Notamacropus eugenii: one gene and its partner. The protein of the gene in region 1 purifies or fractionates together with the protein of each later gene. This does not show direct contact. Links are inferred from orthologs where the notes say so. Each region holds a gene or a part of one and is shown on either strand. Other genes may lie near its edges.

The links.
Region 2: the proteins of ATP2B4 (region 1) and NPTN purify together in Homo sapiens (co-immunoprecipitation; 3 studies listed by BioGRID and IntAct, with this or other methods). This does not show direct contact. The link is inferred for Notamacropus eugenii from reciprocal best matches to the Homo sapiens genes ATP2B4 and NPTN.

The regions. Positions count from the first base shown.
Region 1 is NC_092873.1:436,290,791-436,300,690, reverse strand, and holds the start of ATP2B4 (plasma membrane calcium-transporting ATPase 4), read left to right. Parts: upstream 1-5,086; 5' UTR 5,087-5,751; intron 5,752-9,900. UniProt on the Homo sapiens protein: Calcium/calmodulin-regulated and magnesium-dependent enzyme that catalyzes the hydrolysis of ATP coupled with the transport of calcium out of the cell. By regulating sperm cell calcium homeostasis, may play a role in sperm motility.
Region 2 is NC_092872.1:243,423,049-243,432,905, forward strand, and holds the start of NPTN (neuroplastin), read left to right. Parts: upstream 1-5,131; 5' UTR 5,132-5,146; coding exon 5,147-5,474; intron 5,475-9,857. UniProt on the Homo sapiens protein: Probable homophilic and heterophilic cell adhesion molecule involved in long term potentiation at hippocampal excitatory synapses through activation of p38MAPK. May also regulate neurite outgrowth by activating the FGFR1 signaling pathway.

The DNA of each region.
Region 1 (9,900 bases):
ACATTCCACATACAGCTTTGCAGTTCTTTGGGCACATATATTATTCAGTGTGAATTATGGTTATCCATACCAGAAAACAATGATGAAAACCAGAACCGTGTCTTACCTACCTATCATATTGTCCTGAACTTAGTAGATGCTGTGGAGCAAACGTTGAATTGAATTGAAAATCTTTGGACAAATCCCTTCTCTCCCCTGTACCTCTGTTTTTCTTTCTGAAACATAAAACTAATTGGTAGTGGGAAGGGAAGAGGTTAAGCAAGTTAACTTTTGTTTGAAGAAGACTTTAAAAATACAAAGTGACTTTTTTTAGAGGTTCCATTGACTGACATAGAGCCTTTCTTCAGGGCTCTGGAAGCGAGGAACACCCCATGTAAAGCTCTCCATATAAATCTGTGAGTGGGATTATTCATTGATGACAAGAGACTCATCATTGTTTTCCTCTCTAGAGCTTCTCTTTGGTTGCAGAGAGCTTTGTGAAGTTCTCATGTCTTTGTTCTCCTGAGTATGTGTATGTGTCTGTGTCTGTGTCTGAAAGACTGCTTTACATGTGTGTGATTAAAAAGAATTTCTTTTCAAAAAGCATCTAGGAATTGTGCAAAGTTGTTGGGGTGGACAGGGCAGGCAGGAGCAGAAAGAAAGATGAGAGTTGGGGAGGCCAAATAACTACCATCAGCTGTTTGGTAATGAGCATGGTTGAAGTTAGAGATGAGAAAACAATTCCTAGGATGATGGAAGGCTACACTGTCTCTGGAATGTACAGCCCCAGCTCAATGCGTTCTGGTTGTTTCAGAGCAGTGGTACACCTTGGGGATGTGGAAGATCCCCAAGAATGTCAACTAAGTCTTTCAGAGGCAAAAAAAGGTCATCATCTAGAGGACAGCAGAATGCCAGGAGACAGATACAGACTTGTCTTAGGAATGCTAATAGATACTCTGTTATAATATGAAAGGCTAGGGCATGTCCTTAGCTTTATCCTGTTACTGACATAATCATGCTGTGTGACCCTGGGGAGGTCCCTTGGCTATTCTGTGCACATGCTTTCCCTACTGTCACATGGGAATAATATTAATTTTAAAAACAGTGAAGGTTTGTGAATTCTTTGTAGAAAGCTCTCATTTTACTATATGATCTCACTAATGGGGACACTTTCCATAGAAGTCCATATAAGCCATCGAATCATGTTCTGCTCTTGTCTCCATAAAGCCTTTATAAAGATTTCACTCAGTTTACTAGAGATCTCCCCTAGGTCTTTTCACATTAAAGGTACTGGTGTGGCATTCAATCTGTCCATCTGTTATCTTTGGCTTTCACTACATGACTAATAACATCACCTGGGGACCAGTGTAGCCCTCAGTCTGTCCATCTGTTATCTTTTGCTTTCGCTACATGACTGATAATATTACATGGGTACCAATGGGACTCTGTCCATCTCTTCTCTGCTTTTACTACATGACCAATCTACGTCCTTTTTTGGGCACAATGTTTTTTTGGTTGGTGTCTTCCATGCTACTTATCACACAAAAGTCATCTTTGGTAATAAACTGGAGTCAGCTTCCATCCTCTATCTCCCCATTGCCCTTTGTGCCATGCACAACTGTGACTCTCCTGAGACTGTAGAGTATATGATTCACAATCATATAGCACCCCAACTCCATCTCAGCATGGTTGACCTTTAAGCCCTTTGTGGAAGAAAGAGAGTTGGAAGGATAGTAATGTGGTTTTTTTTTTAATGAGCTTACACATAAGGATATAATTTGGGTTCATCAAAACTGATTTCCCCAATGCTGTTGGCCATTTCCCTCCCACATGTTCGATTTGGACCCTGGCTCATTGTCCACTTGCAGAACCTGTCCAGAATATGTGTAGTGATAGTTTAAATCAGTGAACTTCCCAGCAGTGTGTCATAATCAGGACAATTTCCTTACTGTTCCTCTCACAAGACACTCCATCTCTCAAGTCTGGGCATTTTCATGGACTGTGTCCCATACACATGATGCTCTCCCTTCTCACCTCTGCCTTCTGGCTTCCCTGGTTTCCTTCAAGTCTCAGCAAAAAATCCCACCATCTACAGGAAGATTTTCCTGATCTATCTTAATGTTAAGGCTTTCCTTCTGAGAGTATCTCTAATTTATCCTATAGATGGATAGATGGATGGATGGATGGATGGATGGATGGATGGATGGATGGATGGATGGATAGATAAATAGACAGATAGATAGATAGGTAGATAGATAGATAGATAGATAGATAGATAGATAGATAGATAGATAGATAGATAGATAGGTAGGTAGATAGGTAGGTAGGTAGGCAGATAAATAGATATGGATAGCTATATATTTATATCTATACAGAAGAAATTGGAAATAATCTCAGAGGGAAGGCATATATATGTATCTATCAAGATATAGGTATGTGGATATCTAAATCTATCTATACATACATATCTGTATATCTTACTTGAATGTAGCTGTTTGAATGTTGTCTCTTCTATTAAGACTGTGAGCTCCTTGAGGCCAGCGATCATTTTTTTGGTCTTTCTTTATATCTCCAGTGCTTAACATAGTGCCTGGCATACTGTAGGTGCTCAATAAATACTTGCTGACTTGACAATAGACACTCTTCATCTAAATGTTTTTTTCCTTATAGATTGTTAGACTTTAGTGGTTATGGATCTCATGGAAGAAGCCTTGCCCTATTCTGGAACTTGAGGTTCTCAGTACATTGTCTTCCAATAATGCCAGGAAGAACTCACCATCTTTTTTGTTGTTCAGTCATGCAGTTGTGTCTTACTCCTCAGTCACCCCATGGACCATAGCATACCAAGTTGTTCTCTCCTCTGCTATCTCTTGAAGTCTGTCCAAGTTCACGTTTGTTGTTTCCGTGACACTATCCATCCATCTTATCTTCTGCCATCCCCTTTTCCTTTTGCTTTCATTCTTTCCCAACACCAGGGTGTTTTCCAATGGGTTCCATCTTCTCATTATATGGCCAAATTTACCATCTTTAGAGAATTATTTTTTCATTTGGATTCTACCCAGGACCTCCTATCCTTGTCTTCCATGAAAGTGACAAATACCTCAGTGAGCAATCACCTCCCTGTTGTGTCCCTGGCTCCCTATGGATACTCAGATGACTGTTGAATAAAACTATCTCTGTGGTTACATCTACTAAGGAGTCTTACGTGAGCTTAACATAAAGATGGGAGACCCTTTTAGTAGTCAGCCTTTTTAAGGGGACATTTTGTTCTACCAATCAAATTTTTTAAAAAATAACGAATGTTTTTAAAAACCATTGGGAGCTTATATTCTTTATGTTTGTCAGTAATTGTGTTTATGATCTCATTTTACAGATTATAATTCATAGCTTGTGTTATGTTTTTTTACAAAATGATTTCCTGTCAACAACTTTGTAAGGAGATTACAGAGTAAGAAGTATAATTCCCATTCTCCAGTTAGGAAAGGTAGTGAGATTTGAAATTTACTTTCCCAAGATCACACTTGAAAAGTGACAGTGGTAGTATTAGAATAAAGACCTTCTGCCTTCAATCTCAATATTCTTTCTACATCCTCTACCTCCATTTTCCTTGAGAATCTCGAGAGGACAAATGTGATTGAGGCAAATACTTTAAAAGTTTCCTTTTTAGAGTAAAATGTTCATTATTCATATATGAACCCAAACATTTCCAACTATGGCATCCCTTCCTGAAATACTCATCCTCACTTCTACCTCTTAGAATCTCTTGTATCTTTCAAGACTTAGCTCCAAGACAGTCTTCTGCAGGAGGTCTTATTCATTCTACCAGCTTCCAGAACCTTCCTCTTTGAGATGAACTTCCACCAGCTCTGTTATATATCTTGTATGTTCTGGATTATTTACATATCCTCTCTCCCATTAGAAGGTCAGCTTCTTCTAAGCAGGGCTTGTTTTTTCCTCTCTTTGGGTCCCGCAGTGATTGAAATTACCTGGCACATAGTAAGCACTTAATAAATGCTTGTTGATTGGTTGATTCACTGATTAAGAGAGAAGAAGCACTAGACTAAGGGTCAAAAAACCTGGGTTCTAGTTCATGTTTAATCCTTACCATATATCAGACCTTGAGTGAAACATTTCAACTCTCTGGGCCTCATCTGTAAAATGAGGATAATAATACCTGTGACCACCTCCTTCCAAAGGTTGTGGTGAGGATCACATGAGATAAAGGTTGTGAAAAGGCTTTGTAGATTGTAATGAGCTCAATGGAGGTTTTAAAAAGTGCTGGTTAAATGGAATCTTTACCCCTGCAAACCTTGACTCATTCTCTAGAGTGTTAGTGTCCATCAGCTCAGCTGGAGTTTACATGACATTTTCCCATCTCCATTTTATTATCTTCAAGAAAGACCTGAGTTCAAACCTGCCTCTTATACTTCCTAGTTGGGTGAACTTGGCTAAGTCTTTTAACCAGCCTCAGGTTATGTGCCTCAGTTTCCTTATCTATAAAGCCAAGATAATACTACTACCTCCCTCCCAGCATAAAATGAGTTAGTATATGCAAAGTGCTTTGTGTTCCTTAAAAGCACTAAATAGTTTGTACTATTAGTGGCAGCACTGGGCATAGAGCGCCAGACCTGGAGTCAGGAAGACCCATCTTTCTGAGTTCAAATCTGGTCTCAGACACTTACTAGCTGTGTCACCCTGGGTAAGTCACTTAACTCTATTTGTCTCAGTTTTCTCTTCTATCAATTGAACTGGAGAAGGAAATGCAAACCACTCCAGTATCTCTGCCACAAAAACCACAAAATGGTGTCATGAAGAGTCGGACACAACTGAAAACAACTGGACAACAACAGAAAAACAAAAAAAAAATTGTTATTAATACATCCTTGTGGAGGAAAGAAGAATGCTTATGATAAAAAAAAAGTTAGAGCTGGAAGTAACTTTAGAGATCACCTAGTGTTCTTTAACCCCCTGGTTTTTCCAGAGGAAAAAATTGAAGCCCAGAGAAATGAAATGACTAACCTAGGGATCACACTGGTAGGTAGTAAGTAATAGAAGGTCTGAGTTCAAATTCTACCTCATAGTTGCTGAACCAGAGGTTCCAACCCAGGTCCTTCACTCTGAATTCAGCATGCTAAGCTGGGCCATCTCAGGTCATCCTGATTGGATATCTGGCCACTGGACCCAGATGGCTCTGGAGAAGAAAGTAAGGCTGGTGACTTTGCCCAGCCTGCCCTCCCTCAAATCCAATTCAATGCAAGTCATGTTATCATCTCCCTGATGTCATGGTCCTCTTTGAGAATGAAGGACAAACCACAACAGTATGCTATGAAGGTTTCTCCCCCATATCGTAACTGAGAAAACTGATGCCCACAAATATAAGACAATTTTCCCATGACTAATGAAAGATCTTAGATAAAAGGACTAGAGCAGGCCAATGGCTAGTCACTCAGTCCAGCTCCCTCATTTTACAGGTGAAGAATCTGAGACCCACAGAGTTGTCACAAAGGAAGAATTCTCATTCAGTTCCAAACCCAGTGTTTTTTCCCATTCTACCCTTTCTGGAAGTCAGAATGCCCTGGAAAAAAAAGCCAAAGGACTTCAGCTGTATTGCTCATTCTGCTTTGTGACCTTGGGCAATTTACTTCATTTCTGAATCTCAGTTTCTTAATTTGTCAAATAAGGATACTATCTGCCCAGCCTACCTCACAAATTCATTGTGAGGCTCAAATCAGATCATCTGTAAGAAAGTGCTTTGAAAATGATAAATCCACTGTAAGTATGTAAGGTATTCTTATTCATTATTATACCTTCAATTCAAAGCTGTTGAAATGTCTTAAGCAGGAGAGGATGCAGTTGAAGAATTGGGGCAGGGTGGGGAGGAGTCGGATTGAGACTGGGCATCTCAGAACCTCAACCATCATCCCCACCTGTGAACTGTAGTTCTCAGCTTCAGTGTCCCCATCGGTTTAACTCTTGATAATCAGAGATAGAACTGGAAGAGACCTTCAGAGTCATTTATTCCAAACCCTTCCTTTCCCAAATGAGGAAACTGAGACCTTGAGAGGGGAAGGGGCAGCATTATGTTATTAAACACTTTTCATCATATTTTAGATAAGACTCTCTCCCCAACCCATAGTGATATATGTTGTTTTTCTTTGTTGGTTAGTTGTTTTCAGTCATTTCTGACTCTTTGTGACCCTATTTGGGTGTGTGTGTGTGTGTGTGTGTGTGTGTGTGTGTGTGTGTGTGTGTGTGTGTGTGTGTGTGTGTAACAGAGCAGAATGTCCATTACCACAATGCCTTGAAATACCCAGACTGCCCTGCCTTCTCACATCAGCACTGGATCTAATAAGTGACTAAGGCTGGATGTAAGTGTTAGAGAAGGGGCAGCTACATGGTGCAGTGGATAGAGCAGTGCAGGAGTCAGGAGGACCTGAGTTCATATCTCACCTCAGACACTTCACACTCACTAGCTGTGTGACCTTGGGCAAGTCACTTAACCCCAATTGCCTCATCCTAGGTCATCTCCAGTCATCTGGTCGCTGGATTCAGATGGCTCTGGAGGAGAAGTGAGGCAGGTGACCTGCACAGCCCTCTCTCACTCAAAACAAAGTCAAGTGCACGTCATGTCATCATTTCTCTGATGATATGATCTTCTTCAGCAAAGAATGACAAACACACACACAAGTGTTAGAGATGGAATCTGAATCCACACATGGCTCCCAAGCCAGAGAGGAAGGGGCGAAAGCACTAGGTTTGGGGAATCTTGCCTCTGGTGATGACAGGCTTAGAGAGGATTAAATAGGGGCCCTCCTGGGGCAGAGGTCAGGAGTTCTCCAGGTGTGATTCTGTGAGGCACAGGGGAAGGAGAAAAATGACTTGGTTGGGTGTCAGTGTCGCTAGCCTCAGCTGAGCCCGGGGCAGTGGTTATCTCCTATTCCTATGGGACAGCCAGGCCAGATCTAGCTGATTTGGGTCTACTGTACAGCTGTGGCAGGCCTCCGTGGGATGAAGTCTCTTCCCTCCCTCTGGCTCCTCCTTGGGCTGGAGGCTGTGGGTGGGGATTTGCAGGTCAGAACTCAGCTCTTTCTCCACTCCCACCACCCCCACCCCCACCCTGGGGCTTAGGGTGTGGTTAGAGGAGTGGAGAAGGGGATTGAGCTGGTGGAGGGACTAGATAGTAGAGGAGGGGCCTGGCCTGGGCTTGCTACCAGCTGAGTCCCTCCTGGAGTGGCCAGGAGCCCTGCTTATGCAAGGGCTGACCTATCTGGCCCACTGAGGCAAAGGCACTGGGTGTGGCTGGGGTGACTGGAGAGACAAGCCAAGTTAAGTGATAGCATGTGGAACACAGTTGCAAGAACAGGCTGTAGGCCAGCCGCATGGCGCGGATCTCCCTAGGGGCAGCCAAGTTTTCTGTTTGCACAACAGTGATGGAGGCAATGTGGCACTGCGTTTGGGGACTAAAGGCTGTGGAGCACAAGAGGGGTTTTCCTAGGGCATTTCTCTAGGCCAGAACATTATACATAGTCCGGAGCTTCTTAAACTTTTTTCACTCATGACCCCTTCAGTGCTTCTTAAACTGTGGGTTATGTCTGCCACAGAGCTCTGTAACCCAGGTCTGAAACCTGGATCCACCATCTCCTTGGGCCCTAAACTCCTCGGGCTCACTGTCCTCATCCCTACAAAGTGAGGTGGTAGCCTGGCTAATCCCTAAGGTTCCAACCTTTTACAGATGAGGGAACTGAGGGGAAGGAAATGAAGTGGTTTGACTACCCTCTCCTGCAGCCCTTGCTGGTTCCTTCCCAATAGAATTCTCCCTCCACTCTAGACTGTGCTAATAGGGCTTTGAGCATCTCTTTATGTCCTCAGCACACATCACATTCTGTAATGATATATCCATCTATGTTGTTTGCTCATTTTTGTGGACTCATTACTCCATCTTAAATTATACCAGTTAGATGCCAGAGAAAACAATAATGGAGATCTGGGTTTTTTCATTGAAAATACATTCATTTAGGGCCTCCTGTGTATAGGTTCTGTATTCTGTTTCCCTCTCTTGAACTTATGCCCCAAACCATTTTCCTTCCTGCCCTTCATTCTAAGATTCTAAGGAAGGGAAAGATGATGTCTGATTAGAGTCTTCCTTTATTTGAGAAATACTCACCGGGCAACTTATTTGCCCAAGTTGTGCCAGTGCCCTTTTATTCATTTTCAAGACAAAAAGAAAGGACTTCCCCAGGATCCTCTGTCACACCTGGAGGAGGCTCTCAGACCTCTGCCTTATCACTCCTGCCCCACTCTGTGTGTGTGTGTGTGTGTATGTATGTATGTATTTATATATGTGTGCATATATACACATAGAACTATGATGCTGCAGAGAACAATATGAAAGGTGTCTGTAAGATGCACCCTTCAAATGCTTTGGGTGCTCTGAGGAGAGAGGGATACTTTAGGGGGAGAGGGGCAGGAAATGCTTCATATGCTGAACCCTGAAAGATTTCTGAGATAGGGGATGAGGGAAAAGTCAAGCCGGCCACTTGAAGATCAATGTTGTTTGAGACAATAAACATTGGAGAATGCATTTCTTAAAGAGATGTAAAAACATTAAGATAAAATGTGATAAACATTTTTTTAAAAAATGAGTAATCACTTATTGCCTATGAAGATTTACCTCCCCAAAGGAGGCTAACCCAACTAACCTCTGTTTGTTTTTGGAATAAAGTTACTAATATGGCTGAGACAAGTGTACTTTGATTTTAAGCAAACAGACTCTTAGAATTTTGTGGATTAGGTGGTGAGAAGGGACTTGAATAATAATGGGGTCAGTAAAACTGGTACAAAATGATGAGCAAGGATCTATTTAGTCACTTGACCACTGCCTGCCTCAGTTTCCCCATCTGCAAAATGGGATAATAGCAGCTACCTTCCAGGGATGTTGTAGGGATCAAGTGGATTAATATTTGTTGAGTGCTTTTGAAACCATAAAACACCAAGGATGGGGATGCAATGAGAAAACTGCATAGGCTGCTAGAATTCTAATGCTTAACAAATGATTCAGCCTAGAGAGAAATATTCCTGTTTTATATTATTTCATTTCCCCTACCTACTATTCTATTCAAATGTACCCCTTCTTTGAGTCCTGGACTTTTACTTAGTTCCCAGCTCCAGCAGCCATCCCCTTTCTCTGAAGTATTATTTCATTCCATTTTTTTTTTTTTTTGTTCCTTCTGGTCTTACTACAAATGAGTTCCACTTAGACACTCCACTTTGGCTTCCTTATTGGCTTCACATTATCCTTCATCCTAACTCTGCAAAGGCCTCTTACCCATCAGTATCTCTGGCCCTGACCTTTCTCCTGACCTCTGGACCCTCTGCTATTCTGCTTATACAAAATAACCATCTGACAATCCTTCTGGTACCTCAGCCTCAACATAGAAGATTCACAGAGGGATTTCTGCCAGTCTGCCTGCCTCATATTGCCTTAGAAAACCACAAATTGACATTATCTATGCTTTGTTGTATTTTTGTTTTGTGAGGTATTTTCTAGCTTCATTTTAATCTGGTTTGCTACTGCCACAGGTCTTGACACTTCTGAGGTCAGTGTTTTACTTTGACTCAAGAAGACTTGAGTTCAGATCCTGCCTCAGACACTTACTAAAAGGTGGGGTTAGTTTCCTAAAAATAAGGACCGATGGGATCATAGATTAGACCTGCAGAGGAGACTGTAAAGGTGATATAGACTTGTCCTCTAAAGTCCCTTCCAGTTCTAAATCTATGCTGTGTGCAAACAAAACTTACCTTTTCTCCCTTAGTATGTTCCTCCTACATTTTCAAAATTTCTTTCAATTGTGTCATTCATCCAGGCTTCCCCCCACTTCTAGGAAGTCTTCCTTAATATCTGTCCTCAGTAATGAAACTTTT
Region 2 (9,857 bases), on another chromosome or scaffold:
TTTGTTTCTGCCTTCCAGACAACAGTACAGTCAGTCTACATCAGTATTTCCCAGTTAGTCATACTGTAGAACTCTAAAATTATAAAGATTTACAGTTCCCCAAAACAAAGACCCAACTTTTTAATACCAGTGCCCTACTGATGCACTTACATGAGTCATAATACGTATACACACTAAATTCTTCAAAATAAGGAGATTTATTTTGTCACTAAGATAGAGTAGGATCTTATGGTAGAGAATTTGATGCCTGATTGATTTGATATGGGGGGATTATGTCCAAGACAAGTGAGGTTCTGAGCCTCAGTGCTCTTCTTGACCAAGACATGGCAGTTAGGAGAAACAGGTAAGTTCAGTTTCTGCCGAAGGAGGTGCCTGATGAGGAGGCATAAAAAAAAAAAAACCAGAGAGAAAGGCATGAAAAAATACTGGATTTAAAATTTGAGAAATAAATCCTAACTGCTACACATCATGCCAAGGGTTCTATCCCCCTTCAGCTACTCTGTGGTTAAACTTCATTTTCCATCCTTTGGGCTCTGCCTCCACATCAACAAATGGAGCATTTCAGCATAGAGCTACAACTTGCCTCTGTGGAATTGTTCACTGACCGACCAACAGTTAATGTGGTTAGACTATATAGGAAGTGTTTGTGGGTGTGGGTGTATGTGTACACATGTGTGCTAGATGGCACAGTGGCCTTTGAGCCAGACAGACCTGAGTTCAAATCCTGCCTTAGACATTTAGCTTAGCTGTCTCATCCTGGATAAGTCACTTAATGTTTTTTCAACCTCAGTTTCCTCTTCTGCAAAATGAGAATAACAATAACAGGATTGTTGTAAGGATCAAATAATGCCTACAAAGCAGTTTGAAAAACTTAAAGGGCTATATAAATGTGATGATGGTGATGGTGATACAGTATGTATCTGCCCAGGGTGGTTGGGGCTAATTGAAAGATGTGAAATATTGAGACTAGAACCTCACGTTAGATGTCAGCAGGTTGTCTTGTTCGACCTTGGACTCAGAGATTTGAGCCTGTGCCCTTTAGTCAATTGTAATCTAATTTTCTTTCTTAGAATAGAGAGGCAGGAAAGCACAGACTGAAAGAATCAGATCTGCCAGCAGCATTATAAATTGACTGGGGCTTCAAGAGGGCTGCTGTGTAAGACAAGAGTGGGGCTTATTTTAAAGGCCTTGCTGGCCTTGGTTAACAGTCATGGGGAGGAAGTCTACCTTTGCAAATCTAGCTGGGCCTGCCCTGGAGTTAAACAGGAAATTTGAGGTGCTAGTATTCCTGTTTCAAAAGTCAGCTATGTATGTATGTGAAAGCTGTCTTCTTTTGGAATGGCATTCACCTTGCTCTGTGTGCCCCTCTTGACTCGAATACTTTCACAATCCAGACTCCTAGCTTTTTCTGTCCAGAGAGCTTGTCCTTTCTCCAGGTACTATTCTGAGCTGTCTTCTTTTTCCCACTCCCAGTCACACAATTGAATATTCTTACTTTCCCAACTTTGTCACATCCTTTTATCATATTTTTTCTTTTTCCTTCCTCTCTGAACAACCAATTGGGATTCTGCAGTTTCCTGGTTATTAAATGCAGGAATGATAGAGCCAATTTGTAGGACTCACACTTACTCAACATCTTGTTGTAGCCATTTATGTCAGGAGTGGTGGCATGGGATTGAAAGGGGGGGGTGGAGATTATTTTGCAAAACAAAACCAACTTTTCTGAATTTGGGGGAACTTTTATAAACCATGACTGGGGTTCCTTGCCTCCCCAAACTTCAGCTTTTATGGAAGCACATGCCTTTATAAGGCACCTGACCTTCAGCTGTAACTTTTCATTCTGAAGGTGCTGGTGTGTCTGGAAGCAAAAGGGATGATTTAGACCCTAGGCTGTTTACCTCCTGCTTCTGAGAGCTGATTCTTCTCGTCTGCTGAATTGAAGCTAATTTTGGATAGGTAATGAGGTGTAGTTTATTGCTAATCTTGATTTTCTATGCTAATTGTATGAATACTTTATAGAAAAGTTCATTTTACTAACTCCCTGCTGCTAGGAGGAGAAAAAGGTTAGGTTGTACAATTTTTTATGAGTTTTCTAGTATCAAGGAATCTCCTGATTGATGGAGAGGTTTTGTGGTATTGTGGAAAGTATCTGGCCTTGAGAGTGGGAAGACTTAGATCCTCACTATTTCTGCCACCACTCTTTGTGATACAAGTGGTGAGCTTGGGTCAGTTATTGCTTCTCTAGGATGTTATAGAGAGAGTGTGCCTTTACAATGCTTGTACTGTGTGGTGGATCCTTAACTTCCAGTTCTTAGTTTTGTTATTTGTAAAATGGGCATACTACTTGCCTACCTATCTAATAGGGCAGTTGTAGGATCAGTGAAAATGTATGCAAAAGCATTTATTAAAAAGCATATCTTTAGTATAGGTGACAGAGATTTATTTTACCATGGTCCCTGACAAGAATATCAGAATGAAAAATTAGCTCCCCTTCTGTTATGTACAATTCGTCTAGGCAAAGGGGTAAAGTGAAAAAGCCCCATTCAGTTTGGAGTCAGATGACCTGGCTTCAAATCCTAGCTCTGCTGTTTACTGTTTATATAATCATGGTCAAATGATAATTGCTGTCTATTTCTTAATCTGCAAAACTGAGAAGGTTGATTAGATGACCTAAGGTCCTTTCCTGCTCTAAATCTATAATCTAATGACCATCACAGTCTCCAGAGGATCAGAGGCAAGTAGAATACTTTGTATATTGAACCAGTCTGCTCAGCAAAGATATTGTAAGGTTCTTTTTATTTTTAACCAATTGTCCTTCCTACAAATTATTTTAGGACTCTCTCAAGCTTTTCTGTTTTGCATGGATTCTTTGTTCTTGCTTTGTCTAAGGCTTATCATACCATAGGTTCAAATTCTGTCCAGGCTGTCGTAGGGAACTATGGAGCTAATGACAATTCTGTTAGAGGAAAATGAGCAAGTCTCCAGTTAATCTTGCTAATAATTACTAAAATCTGGCAGCTCAAAGAACTTTCCTGACCTGTTCTCGTTTCTCTAAGAAGTAGTGATTACTTAAACCAACAAGTTAAATAATCATCCTCCATACCTTTCTTGGAAATAAGTTTTCTTTAGAGTTGTTTGTATACTTGGAAAAAACAAATTTGTTCCAGGAAAGGAATACAGTATTGGCTTACATGAGAGTCATGCTTCCTAGCTGGCGTGTGTTTTATATAGTGATGCTTAATTACCCCGGTGCCCGGATGCTATACTGTCATCCGTTGGCAAGACAGCTGAGAGAAGGTCTCAAGTTGAATGTCTTACTCTGAGCTTCTTCTGGATCTTCCAGTGATACCTGTGTGGCTCCTGAGAGTCCCTGCAGAGGGGGAGGACCCTGCTAGGGCTGACCAGTAGAGGTGATTTGGAACAATAAATGAGTTTTGTGCTCTTTGTACTTGACATTCAGTGCCTTTGCAGGTCAAGAGTCTTGAGGTCATTGTTCCCCCAGTCCCCAAAGAATATTTAAAACATTCTCCAGGTTAGAGAATGACAGAGCTGGAAGGAATTTCAGAAGTGATTCAGCCCATCACCCTCATTTCACAGAAGAAACTGAGACAGAGAGCTGAGGTACTTGTCCAAGGTCACATGGCTAATTAAGAGCAGTACTAGAAAGATGCTCAGCTCCCAGGAACAACACTCGTTTTACTCTACCAGGATACTTTGTAGCTTAGATTTGGGGTCTGAACTATTCTGTAAAAAAAAAAAAAAAAAGTACTTCGATTTCTATATGGTACATAGAGGGTTTTTCTCCCCCTTTAATGGCATGTTACACGAGGCCGTGTTTTGTTTTTTTCCCTAAAAGCAAGTAGTTACACCTGGAAGTATGAGAATTTCTTCCTGTAACCTAAATTTTCTGGTTGTTAGCCCCATTCCCTTTGCTTCTGTGGTACAGAGGGAATGTTCCATTTAATGTGTACATCTCCTCTGGAATATGCCTAGTTTGCGCATCTCTGTTCATGTGCAGAGGTGCTGCTTCAGTGTCCCTAGGGAAAATGTGCAGCCAGTCTTGAGTGGTCTCTGTGATCTTCCTGTGTGATATTTGAATCAGCAGATAAGACAGTCTGTGGGTGTAGTAAGTCAGTAAGAGAGACTGAACCAGGTCTTACCTTTCCAAGGACCTACCTCCATAAACTTTTCAAAAAGTCTTTGATTTTTCATCTATGACATTTCTACTTCCTAACCCAGTATCACTTTGATCTGAAGCCCAAAGCAAATCCCTGGTGGGAGAAAGAGAAGGACCAATATCCAGCTGCTGGGGGTGGGGGAATGAGGAAGGCCTTCATTCTTCGGTGGTGGCCAACACAGCTGAGCCCTAGCTTTCACCCACAGCTTCTAGTTTGTTTGAGGGAATTGTTCTTATTGGAGCTGCTCAAGTACTAGGGTTTGTTTCCTTGGTGTTTTTTTAAGTCAGTCAGTGAGTAAATAAACATTTATTAAGCACCTGCTATGTGCTAGGTGCTGTGCTAAAGCTCTGGAGGCACTGTGCTAAGAGAGTCCAACCTGAGTCAGGACAGACTGTCTGCTGGACATCTGACACTTGTCAATGGCTTCCTTAGATACCGTCTCTGGACTTCCATTTAACACGCACTGCTGCACTTTCATAAAGGCGCTGCAACATTCCCAGGGCAATCAGCTCTCCCAAAGAGAGATTCTGGCTTGGCATTTAGCCCTGATGCTGATTTCCAGTTGCTCTTTCATCACCTCCCCAGTTTGGGAAAGGTATGGTTTGTGCTGTGAGGATGCTTCCCAGCCTTTAGGCTCTCCCATTCCTGCCCACTGGACCCATTGCTACCGAGGCTGCTTAGTGGGCTTGCTTCTGCCTGGCGGTTGTTGTCCAGGGCTATCCCAGCTTCTAATCAGCCTGCCTTTGCTTCCTAAGTTGGCCAGGATGGTTCTTCTAAAAGCTTGTATGAATTGCTGTTACTGTCTCTATTTTTTAAATAAATCCTTTTCTGTTCTTTGCAACTCATTTGCTTTTTTTTTAATTTTCTTTTAAAAAATTACTATTAACTCCTGTTGATTTTTTTTTTCTGACTGGCCTGCCACTGCATTCCTGCTGCCCCTCCCTCTAGCTGGGTTTGTCAAGTCGCCCATGTCAGAAACTAAACTCACGGGGGACGCCTTTGAGCTGTACTGTGACGTGGTTGGGAGCCCCACTCCAGAGATCCAGTGGTGGTACGCAGAAGTCAACCAGCCAGAGTCTTTCAGACAGCTGTGGGACGGTGCTCGGAAGCGCCGTGTCACCGTAAACACCGCCTACGGGTCAAACGGCGTGAGTGTGCTGAGAATAACCGGCCTCACCTTGGAGGACTCTGGGACTTACGAGTGCAGGGCCAGCAACGACCCAAGGAGGAATGACTTGAGGCAAAATCCCTCCCTAACATGGATCCGAGCCCAGGCTACCATAAGCGTCCTTCAGAGTGAGTCCAGCACCCTACAGTAGTAGCACTGTAGTCCTTAGAGGTGGCCCAGTGACCCTTCTCCCCTTCCACCTCCTTCCTAGTATGACCACCCACCCTGTCTTTGTTCTTTCAAACCCACAACCCCTTCAGTTGTAGCATATTAAAATATTTGTGGCAATTTTTTTTTTCTTTTTGCCCTTCCTTTCCCCCCTTTTGTACTCGTCCCCCCATTTTCCTCTATTCATCCCCTCTGTGTGTCTCTTTCCTCTAGGAACAAAGGACTGGGGAAAAATCTATGGAAATGTCTAAAATCTCCTGTCATGTGGGATGGGAGGAGGGAGGAGGGACAAGGGATGAGGGACGTGGGGAGGTTTCAAAGTTAAAACTCCACAAAAGCACACTCTCAGACCAGCTTAGTGTTGAAGTTGTTTCTTCCCCTCCCTTTACGTTTATAGTAGGTTTCCTGCCATCCTTTTGCTGCCTTCTTCTCTAGTGCCTTTTTCTATTTTCATCTTTCTCCTCTAATCTAACCACTTTTGCTTTTTTTCTGATCATCTGTCTGGAGCTCTCAAAGTGGCTGCCTTCACCTGTGTGGTTTTGAGTTCCTGTGTGTCTGCCCCTCCTTTTCTGTGGTTTGCTATGATTGTATACTGTGTGACAGGGCGTTGGCAGTGGCCGCCATTGGTGTAGTGTAGTGTGGTGGTGTATTTTGGTTGTCCCTAGTCACCTGCAAGTGTGAATTCTCCCATACTTCCAGCTCCTTTTCTTTTTCAAAAACAGTGGCATGTGTGTCTCTGATAGCTTTCCACCACAGCAGCAAGCTTCTCACTTACTTTGTTCATTGGATCCTCTGTTCTTGCCAGTCAAGGAACAATCAGAGATTTGTACCATCTGTCCTGTTACCAGGAGCCTGGTGACTCCAGGTGATAAGGTAGTCCTTTGGATTTTGTCTCCCTGTGACAGCTTGGCTCTGATATCTTTCCAGGACTGTTACTGTAAGGTAGCAGCCCCAGGCTGCTCTGGAGTTCTACATGAAGGAACTTCCTAACTGCTCTCTTCTTCTCTGGCCAATAGAGCTGAGCAAGGCAGCTGGCTCAAGACTTTCCCCATTGGCCATAGGTAGAGGGAGAACATTGGACAGAAGAGTTTTTGTTTCTATTTTACTATTTGGAAAGTGACTTGCTAATTGTTGGGAGTGGGTTGGGAGGAGGGGAGGGTGAGAAACAACTGGAAGGCCAACAGGCTTTGCTAGCAATAGTCCCATTTTAGTAGTTTTGCAATTGAGACCCATGTTTTCTCTGATTGAGTGGTATTCTGGCAATTTTTCTCCTGGCTCATCTCTAGCTTTAACTGACTAATATTGATTTTGAAATGACTTGGTGTGCATCCACAATTCGCACATCGGATAGGAAAAACTAAAACACTTCCTGAGACTTTGATATTAACAAATGAGGGGCTGGAACATAGGTCTCCATCTCTGTTTCCTTATGATGCTCTTAAATCACAGTCATTCTGGAAAGTGAGGAGTGGAAGCTGTTCTATATAAAAACTTGACCAAATGTAAAAAAAACCACTTAGAAGAGGGAGATAAGGGCCACTGCAGCTGGTCCTTTTAAGTCAGAGAATTTGCCTTTGAAAATTGGAAAACCATGTAGACATATGTATGGGGAAAATTAACCAAATGACATGAATTTTTTAAAAAGCATTCTTTCCTCTTCATGTACCCCTTTTTCCCTATCCCTCTCCCCACCCCTGTTACTTTGTCTTCTCCTAAGAAGCATTTTTATAAGAATATCTAGCTGACTAATCTGTAAGGCTAATGGTGCCTCTAGGCTGGTAGTCTGTATCTGGTGTTTACCAGAACCAAAGTGCCTTGCCCTTTGCAGCTTTTTCAGTGTACCTGGACTCAAAGATTTAAAAACCAGAGCCTTGGATGCAGAATGAGGGTATAGAGAGTATGGGACTTCTTAGAAAGTATCTCAAGTCACTTAGTGAGGATTGGCTGGGGGGGCTCCCCACACACTGGTTGCAGTTGATAGGCTGGACTCCTTGGATTCCTTGGAAATCAGTTTCTTAATTCACCAGCCTCTAGAGACCAGTGACCTCAACCCTGCCCAGCTAGATCTATCTTATCTTTCCTCGCCAACCTCTCATGTTATTGACAGCTAAGCTGTGCCTGCCTTTACCCAGCATACCCTGTCCTATATTCAGTGTACTTTGGCTCCTCAAAGCTTGCTTAGCTCTGTTGAATTGCTTTACATTTCTGACTCTTCAGTGCTGTCTGGGGAGTTTTATCTGCTGGCCATGGAGAAAGGTTGAGCGTCATCTTGACCCATTAAGGGTCCACCAGGAGTACCTTCCAAAGTCCTGGAATTATGGATAACAGTAAAAAGATGTCCAATTTGGATGAGGTTAATCTTGACCCACCAAGGCCCTAAACTGACAAAGCAGATAGATATCAGCTAACAAGCCATGCTGCTCAAGGAAGGAGTTTCAGGTCAGGAATTTGCTACTTGCTACTTTAATTGGCATCAATGTCAAATAAAGGCATACAGTGGCTTCTGGCTTCTGGGATTTCTAGGTTTCCTGGATCATGGCAATGGCATGGACCAAGCTGTAGTCTGGTGTTCTGGTTCAGTCATAGCTACTGGGTCTAAGACTGTGAAACTTGAAGGAAATCCTTAACCCTCAGAAAAGAGAATAGAATGCAGATTTCAATTAGACTTGAATTGGGTCAGGTATAAGCAATAATTGGTCATAGAAATGCAATACTTATCTGTTGATAATGATACTGATAGATATACATTGCCAGTGTGGTGATCTGTCCAGGGCTGGTTTCTATATATTTTCTTGTCATAGTAGATGATGGCTGTGACCTCTGCTGAGTTTTACATGTACTGTACAGAATCACACCTCACACAAAAAATAACTCAAATTACTACTCCATTTACTTCCAACTGAGTCTGTCCTGAATCTTTAGCATTTACTCACAGGGGGAAAATTGTGTTTTTCTTTGTTGTGCCAGTATAGTACAAGAAGTATGGGCAGAAGATTATAGCTTTCACATTTCTTCCTCATAGTCCTAAAAAGCAGTAGTCAATTACATAGTCTCTAATAAAAATGGTCATCTGTCACCTGGCCTCCTTAGACTTAAAAATAAGAAAACTCTTGTTGGCCTTGTCCTTGTAGCCCCCTTCCTCATGTCATTGGGGGAAGGTTTGGAGCTGTGCAGAGCAACAAAATTGAACAATAAAATAAAGTAAAAACCTCCAAGGAGTGTTTGGATTTTGATGTTAACTTTATTTCTGCTTTTGATTTTTCTTTGTGAAGTAACAATTTAATCTTTATTTTTTTCTCTCTGTTTGGTCTTGATTTTCTCTTGGAAGTGTGATCCCTTTCTAATGCTTTCTGCTGCCAATGTGTGTGCCTTCCATTGCAGGGTTCACAACAGATTCTTCTCATCTTCCTGAGCTGCAGGGATTTGGCTTCAGTCCAGTAAACATTGAAGACCATGAGACACCACTGTACTAATGATTGTGTTAACATGCATCTGCTTCTCTGTCTTAGTGGCTGCTATGCCTCCATTATTTGTACATAAAGACCCTGCCTGTTTGATGTTAACTGGGAGAATGACCAGTACTGATCTGATGATAAAATGAAGATGACTTTTCATTTTTCTGGACTGAGAAACCCATAGGTCAATTTATTTGTGGAGTAATTTTAAGTGTTTAATGTTATCTTTCACCATTATCTTTGGACTTAAGTTGAATTGAAATTGAAAATTTTACAATAGAAAAAAAGTACTTGGACAATAGATTTTTGAAGTATTTCTCCAGGGGGGAAAATTCTGTTCTGGATAGATGAGAAGGTTTTTTGTCCCTGAAATGAGGTGTAGTAATACGTAGAAAGGTATATTGGAGTTGCAAATTATAAGTAACTAGACAGAACAAGATGATGCAGGAGATAATTATCTTCAAATGAAGGACATGTCTTTGGGTGTGAGGGGTGTGTTGGGGGAAGGTAATGGCAGGTAATAAAAGATCAGATTTTTTCATCTAATAATTGAGCCACAGTAAGGGGGTGCTAAAGTCTTGAGTAAAAATGATTGCCATTTGCTTTCAACATACTTTTTAGTTGATACTTCCAAGAATGATTGGGTATGATTTAAAAATCTCTTTTACATGTTTAGTCACACATGTTTTAGATAAACTAGAAAAGGGCGGCTTCATATTTTAAACCCACAGGGCCTGGAATAAAGCATGAAAGTAGGATGTGTCCAGCTCCATGGAATTTGTAGTGTGGTGGTGATAGTGGTGAGGAGGAATTAACATGTCCCAATAAAAGAGCCTTTTACTCTGCTGTTAATTCTGTCTGACATGGACAAGTCAGTTCCCCTTTTTA